Linked DNA regions of Xenopus tropicalis. The protein of the gene in region 2 purifies or fractionates together with the protein of the main gene of each other region. This does not show direct contact. Links are inferred from orthologs where the notes say so. Each region holds a gene or a part of one and is shown on either strand. Other genes may lie near its edges.

Region 1 (3,753 bases), about 130 Mb from region 2:
ATTTAGACCCAAACTTCAACAGTATCCTCATTCATGTTGGCTGTGAAAGGCTTGTATGGCCAATAGGATAATGCGTCAGTTGCCTAGCAAGTAGTTCTTTGGTTTGTTCCCAAAAGCAGACACCATCTTCATCTAGCTTTACAACTGCTGAGTTTTGGCAGTGATGAAATGCTTTGTATGTTGTGTTCTATTTGGTCAACATAGAAAATACATTAGTGTATTTAAAGTGAAGGAATCGGAGGAGTCGGAGTCGAGTTGAATGTACCATAAACTAAGGAGTAGGAGTTGAAGGATTTATGTACCGACTCCACAACCCTGCTCAAATCAAGTAATAAATTAAATTCCTGCTTAGGGTAGTGCCACATGGGGCTCATTCTCAGTCTGTGTAAAAACACGAGGAGAGAATCAGCCAATCCTCAGGCCTCTGCACTCACTGTAACTGCAATAGCCTGGGTGCAGACACATGGATGTTCCCTCTAATTTCTTGGTTCTGTGCACAAAAAGTTTCTTTGTGCTCACTTTTGAAAAACTGGTGTACAAATATCAGAATAATATACTCAAAATGTATTGATTTGTGTGCACGTGCATGAGTACACAGCTTAAAGGGAACAGTGCCAGAGGGAATTCCGGGAAAACATATGTAGTTTTACACCGAAATCTGCTTTGTGTGTCTGCACCCAGGCCAACGCAGTGCCTATGAGTTCAGACACATGAATGAGCAGAGACCGGTGGATTCTCTGCCTATGTTTATACGCAAGCCCCATGTGGCACTACCCTTAACAAGCAGTGAGGTATTAAGCCATTTAGTATTTTAAATACAATGAAATCAAACCTGTTTGACTGCAGCCCATTATCAGAATTAGAGAGCCATGGAAATGCATATATACCACCATATATATACCTCCTTTCAGAACAATTATTCTTCTGCCTTTGCATTCAAATAACATGTCTTATTTTGGAACCAAAGACTATTGTTTGTGTATCTGCTAGATAACTGCATAGTTCTTCTGGCAGCATCCCATCCATAAATTTTAAAGCTTTAAAAAAACCACATACTAACATATTTGCTGTACAGCAACCAATCAAACTGCTCCAAAATGATGAAATCTGATTGTCTGGAAATTGCTATGGGCTACAAACCGAAAGGACAATTTCATACTTTCTAGGAAAAGATGGGTGTTGGGTTTTCACAGACCTGAAGATGAACAGCCCCATAGTCTTATCTGCAGCTCTTGAACTAACTACATTTGGGAAGATTCCACAGCATTATGTATGTGAGTACCTATCTCCCAAATGCACCCATGTACAGGAATGCGTCTGGTAGTCCCCATTCCCCGAGTCAGAAACCTTAAGAAGGAGACAAGACAAGGAACCCACAGTATCAAACCCACCACAGGTAACAAAGAGACTGCCATGACAAAGGATTCCAAAGGCAAAAACAGCAGGAAGGTGCTTCCAATAAGACTATATGCCTGGCACCAAACAATATCACATGTGCCATAATCATCAGGGTGAAGGTAAACAAGGCAACTTGGCTCACCTTATGTGATAAACTTTCCAAGGGATGAAAGGGTAGATTTTGTTTTTGTTGTTAATGGGACATATTTTGACTAAACTGGCAAAATCCTGTCCATCTGTACTGGAAGGAACAGAAGGGAATAAAGATCATTGTTTGGTAAAGTATTCAGACAACCAAATATTTGTCTGATTTGGCCCATGCCATTTATCCCTGAGCCAATGGTCACAATGTAATGGAGTTGCTCACTCCCACAAATGTCATCATGAGTGTCAATTTCTTTATGTTTTTTACTTTTCAGACTAGAACACAGTAGCACAACCTGCTACCCCAGGAGAATACTATGACAAGTATTAAGGAAAATTCTAGGCCCTGAATTTTCTGGTTATCTGGTCCCCCTACTCTGGGACTCAGACAGCTGATTCATATAGAAACTTACAGCTATGACTTTGTATTGAGGAAGTGCAGTGACAGAGGTTGGAACCAGTGGTTACTTTTCATGTTTTATCCGCCCCAATAGCACAAAGCAGTACCAGTATTTGAGTCACAGGCCACTCAGAGCCCAAAAGTAAACAAGGTGCCACACTCCCAGGATCACTGTACCTGGAGGCAAATCATAACTAGCAGCAATAAAAGGATTAAGCATGCTAATCAGCGGATTACTTTAAGCAAGAATGCCATACTGTCTGTGTGCAACTACAACTCCCAGTAGCCTATGTCTGACAGAGCAGCAACAGAAGCGCAGGCAAGCCATGGAGATTCTGCAGTGCTATGTTGCGAATGGTGTGAATGACAGGCACACAGAGCAGCTGACAGCCATTATCATTACCTATCATCCGGTCATACGCAGGCCCCCAACGCCACAAGGTGCACAGAAGCGCTGCAGCAACTGCGGCCCGTAGATCGGTTATTCCTGCAGCGCTTTCATCGCAATAAACCAAGTGGCAGCATCATTGGCAGATTCCGGGCCCCGGACCCTGGGAAGCTTAGCTGGGCAGCTGAGGGAGTGTTGTGCTGCTGCTACTCGCTGCTGACGTTTCTCCTGCGTCATCTCACTGCGCTTCCCTGACGGCGCGTTGGTTGGCAATAGGAATGGCTGGCACTGACGTCATAGCCGGCAAGTGCATGTATGGCGCTGAGACTTACAGTAGCCACTCACTGTAGCCACTCACTGTAGCCACTCACTGTAGCCACTCACTGTAGTTGGACCTATAGCTGGTACAGCGCCAATGAGGTTTTCTGCTGTGTAAACAATTCCTGTCTGTGGCTCCAAGGCCATTAAAGCACATTAATGGCTGCATGGGGATAATAATATTTCTCTGTTTCACACAAAAATATAGGGAATGAAATATCCCAGTTGTAAACTATAAGGGTATTAGAAGGCTCTGGGGAGTTCAATGGCCAAACAAATGTTTTTATACAGGTCATGGAACTCTCCAGAAATGTCTAATATCCTTATATTTTGCAAAACCAGGGGATATATTATCTGTTATAATACACAAGGAAACAGTCATGTGACATGTGAAATTACATCTCTGAGCAACTGGTGGCATTATAAGGGTAGAGTTTAAAGGATTTTTGATGGCGTTATGTGTATTACTTTTTATATTTTACAACTCTGCACATTAATTTAACCCATTCCCATGTGCTTACATCATGTTCTAGTGCCCTAAACTCTGATTGCCATCACACTGGGAACCAACATTGCACTGCCGGTATATAATGGCCTGTCTGGTAAAAATGATGCGCAATGCCAATGTTATTAATAGGGAGGAAAGACAGAAATATGGGAAGGCCATTATTTTTTAAAAAAAATGGTGATAACCCTAACTTGTTCTGTTTAGAGATGTCTGCTACTTGTGAAACAGTGGGATTGAAGCTACACTGCTTATTGCAAGGTCCAGTACAATTCACAATATCTTCATTATTCTATACCTATGATTTGGCCTTTACCCAGATAGAGACAGAGATCACAGAAGCACCTGCTGTGGGTGTAGGGAAGTACTGGGCCCATACAAACCAAATGAATACTTAATCCTTAGTGGCCAGTGATGCTCAGCTTGTTCCTTGGCTCACACTGTGCCCCAGACTGGCATCTGGACTGTGACAATGGCAGCAGACGTGTGTGCAAGACTGAAGCCAGGTTCAGTATGGTCACTATCCTGTATGATCACTCCTCTCTTGTATCACTGCTCTCGTTACAGCTGTGCTCCTCCATCACATTCTATTACAGTGGC
Region 2 (3,753 bases):
TTTAGAACATTACAATTCCCGTGCAACACCCGTTGGAGCCCAACACTTTGCTGAAATAACAGTAAGTGAGTGCAATATCTCTCAATGCAGAGAGTTGTGGGTTCTGCAGACCATCCGGGGAGGAGACCTCTGCACAGACTCCCAGGGACGGGCGTCACGGCCAAACTCCTCGTTGGCGACTGAGTGACATCCCTAATCCCAGACTGGCATCTCGGTGGACCTCAGTAAAATCCAAAAATAACTCCTAATTGCGCGAGGCCCTTACGGTATTAGGGGTAATTCAGTGGGATCGGTTTACATGCAGGATGAGGGCGTGAGTGCAGCTTTATTGGGCACATTTCCCCTTATTGTAGCCGGGTTTCCTCTGCTTCACACTGGGGGGGGGGGGTTACGGGGAGTTACGGCACACACGGGCACGGTGCTACAAAGGGATACTCACGGCTGACTTTCATGCTGCCAAAAGATGACGGTTGCTGCACGGGTTTGCAGCTCTCTGCAAAGGAAGTGGTTCTCGGCCTCCCCGACATGATTCTCCGGCTCCTCCCTCACCTCCTTCTCTCTTGTAGATCAAAGCCAGATGGAGGGCAAGACCATCAAGGCCCCGGCGCACAATAAGCTTCTCAGCCCTTACCGAAAGCAGTGGGGCCTACCCGGCGCGGTGGTCCCTCTCCCCCACCTCTGTATTGTCACCTTTCCCCTCCGACGATCACTATTTATAGACCATCCCTCGGGCTCCAGTCGGGCACACAATATGGCAGCCGGGGTGTCAGTAGGCCATGTAGCCGGGAATCAGTGGTTTAGTCACAGGCGCAAGGGCCACGGGATTGTCACTGCCGGGGCCACAGGTGACGCTCGGGGGGTAACAGGGCTACTGCTCCTTAGCGATGGATTGAAGGGTTGGAGCCACACAGAGCAGGTTCCGGAGGCTGTTGCCCAAAGCTTGTGCCTGCAGGGGCAATACTTCAAGTATTAAGGGCAGTTTCAAGTGGTACTGCAACAATACTGCACCACAGGCAGGGCAACAGGGCAGGTTCTGCTCTAGTGGGAAAGCGGCAGAACTAGGAGGATCTGGTCATACGTCGTCTGGGGGGGGAATAAGGACAGTTGCCCCCAGGAATCTGTGATTTTGCCCCACTTGTGGCACAATATTGCCCTTGACAGGGTCTCAGGCAAAGGTTTCAGTCGCAAAGCCGAGATATTGATCCGATGGGGGTGGGAAGCTCACTGCTCCAATGGGGGTATTAGCAGGGGCAACTGGATGTCTCACTGCTCCAATGGGGGTATTAGCAGGGGCAGCTGGATGTCTCACTGCTCCAATGGGGGTATTAGCAGGGGCAGCTGGATGTCTCACTGCTCCAATGGGGGTATTAGCAGGGGCAACTGGATGTCTCACTGCTCCAATGGGGGTATTAGCAGGGGCAACTGGATGTCTCACTGCTCCAATGGGGGTATTAGCAGGGGCAGCTGGATGTCTCACTGCTCCAATGGGGGTATTAGCAGGGGCAACTGGATGTCTCACTGCTCCAATGGGGGTATTAGCAGGGGCAACTGGATGTCTCACTGCTCCAATGGGGGTATTAGCAGGGGCAACTGGATGTCTCACTGCTCCAATGGGGGTATTAGCAGGGGCAACTGGATGTCTCACTGCTCCAATGGGGGTATTAGCAGGGGCAGCTGGATGTCTCACTGCTCCAATGGGGGTATTAGCAGGGGCAGCTGGGTGTCTCACTGCTCCAATGGGGGTATTAACAGGGGCAGCTGGGTGTCTCACTGCTCCAATGGGGGTATTAGCAGGGGCAGCTGGATGTCTCACTGCTCCAATGGGGGTATTAGCAGGGGCAGCTGGATGTCTCACTGCTCCAATGGGGGTATTAACAGGGGCAACTGGATGTCTCACTGCTCCAATGGGGGTATTAGCAGGGGCAGCTGGATGTCTCAGATGTTGCCCTAGGGGTAATTATGGAAGTGCGTGGGTAAAGGGCAAATCTCGCCCCAGGGCCGGGTAGTAGCCCAGATGTTGCCCCAGTAGGGGTATTAGCCGGGGCAGGTGGGGTTAATGGCGGGCAGGGAGCGGGGCTTGGGCACAGGCTGAGGCCATGGCGCCTCTCACACAGGGCGGGCAGAGAGAGGGCGGAGAGAGCGGAGTTGTGGGCCCAGGGAGCCGGGCACTTGCTGTCAGGGCCGGGGGTGGGTTCCCGGGCGGAAGCTGCGGCGCAGGATAAAATCACCGGGCAGAGAAATTCGGTTCCCGTTGGACCTCGGGTCGGTACTGTCCCAGAATCCCTTGCGCAGGGCGTTAAAATAAGGTAATCTCCACCGTATCCGTGTCCGGTAACCGCTTCCAGCTCGGTCTCTTTCCCTTTGTCACTCTCCGTCCGACTGACCGCATTTGCCAGTCGGTCTTTTTCCCCGCAATCCTCTCCTCCCTCTCTGCTCAATGACGTAGCGCACCACGCGTCCAACGAGCCGCACGCTAGCGAAACTGAGTAACTCTGCTCTGAGAATACGGGCAAGGGAGGGGGCGGGCCTTCGCCAGTTCCTTCATGACGTTCTGATCTCGGTTTGCTCCGCCCGCATCACTCACCAGCCCATGGAAACCAATCAACTACACGGATTGGCGAGAGGGGGGGCAGAGAAGACGACGTAGCTAACCAATTATCGAGCTTCTCAGTCACTACTCAGCGCTTTCCCCCCCCTCCTTTCTCAATGGCTGGCGTTTTATAGATACTGCTTTATGATTGGCCATCATGTTACCCAGCTTCTCCAATGACACGTTTATTTTTGCAATCTCCGCCTCCTGCCGTTGTCTGCTTGACTCTGATTGGCTAAAGAAATTGTCCGTCTTCTTAACCAGGCCTAGCCTAGAGATAAAAGGAGAGGCGAGGCAGAAATAAGAGACGACCGTCTATTGGTAGGCAGGAGCAGCTGTTGCTGCAAGGAACGGGCGGAAGTAGGCGTTGTCAATCCTTGTTAAGACACCGGAAGTGTGACCTTTTAACTCTTATTATTCATGTATTATATCAGCTGGTTGAAATGTGGGTTTCTGTGGTAACTGGGATATTATGGGGCACGGATATGAGGTCTGAGCCCCGGCCCCGTGTTCAGTCAGAGTGGGGGGGTATTTGTGTGTGTGGGCACATCCTTCCTGTCATATATTCCTATTTGTTCCTTGTTACAGATCCCTAACATTTGCCAGATCTCTGAAATCCCATGGTGGATCATATGGGAGGGGCTGCTGTGTGGTTTTACCCCCCCATAGTGGAGCCGGTGTGCTTGGGTACTTGTGCCATAAGGAGGAAAATGGCTGAAACCAAAGGGGGGCAGGAGGGGTCCTTTACTTGCACCCAGGCCCCAGAGAAGGTTGTGAGGAGAGACTGTTGGCGAGGTCACCAAGCGAGCAGATCTTCTCCCGATATTGCCCACCCTTAGGGGAATTTAGGCTCATTTGGTTGCAGGGGCGGGCCAAGCCGACTGAGCGCCCTAGGCAACCCGGTCGGCCAACTCCGCCCACCTCCCCGCCCCCCCCCCCGAACGGCGCATGCGCACCAAAGCACAGGAGGAGGTGCAGGGGGGGGCGATATGATTAGATTGGTCATTGCCTCTGCCGCTAATGACAAGCGGTGGAGGCAATGACAAAGTAGCACTAGGGGTAGGCAGGCCCCTCAATCGTTGCGCCCTACGCAGCTGCCTCTTCTGCCCACCCCTAGTTCCAGCCCTGTTTGGTCATTTGGCCCTGGGGCCAAACAATCGAAT

The links.
Region 1: the proteins of gsk3b (region 2) and akap11 purify together in Homo sapiens (affinity purification with mass spectrometry; 4 studies listed by BioGRID and IntAct, with this or other methods). This does not show direct contact. The link is inferred for Xenopus tropicalis from reciprocal best matches to the Homo sapiens genes GSK3B and AKAP11.

Annotation. Positions count from the first base shown.
Region 1 is NC_030678.2:132,784,388-132,788,140, reverse strand, and holds the start of akap11 (A-kinase anchor protein 11), read right to left. Parts: upstream 2,582-3,753; 5' UTR 2,346-2,581; intron 1-2,345. UniProt on the Homo sapiens protein: Binds to type II regulatory subunits of protein kinase A and anchors/targets them.
Region 2 is NC_030678.2:1,861,770-1,865,522, reverse strand, and holds the start of gsk3b (glycogen synthase kinase-3 beta), read right to left. Parts: upstream 2,687-3,753; 5' UTR 528-2,686; coding exon 440-527; intron 1-439. UniProt on the Homo sapiens protein: Constitutively active protein kinase that acts as a negative regulator in the hormonal control of glucose homeostasis, Wnt signaling and regulation of transcription factors and microtubules, by phosphorylating and inactivating glycogen synthase (GYS1 or GYS2), EIF2B, CTNNB1/beta-catenin, APC, AXIN1, DPYSL2/CRMP2, JUN, NFATC1/NFATC, MAPT/TAU and MACF1.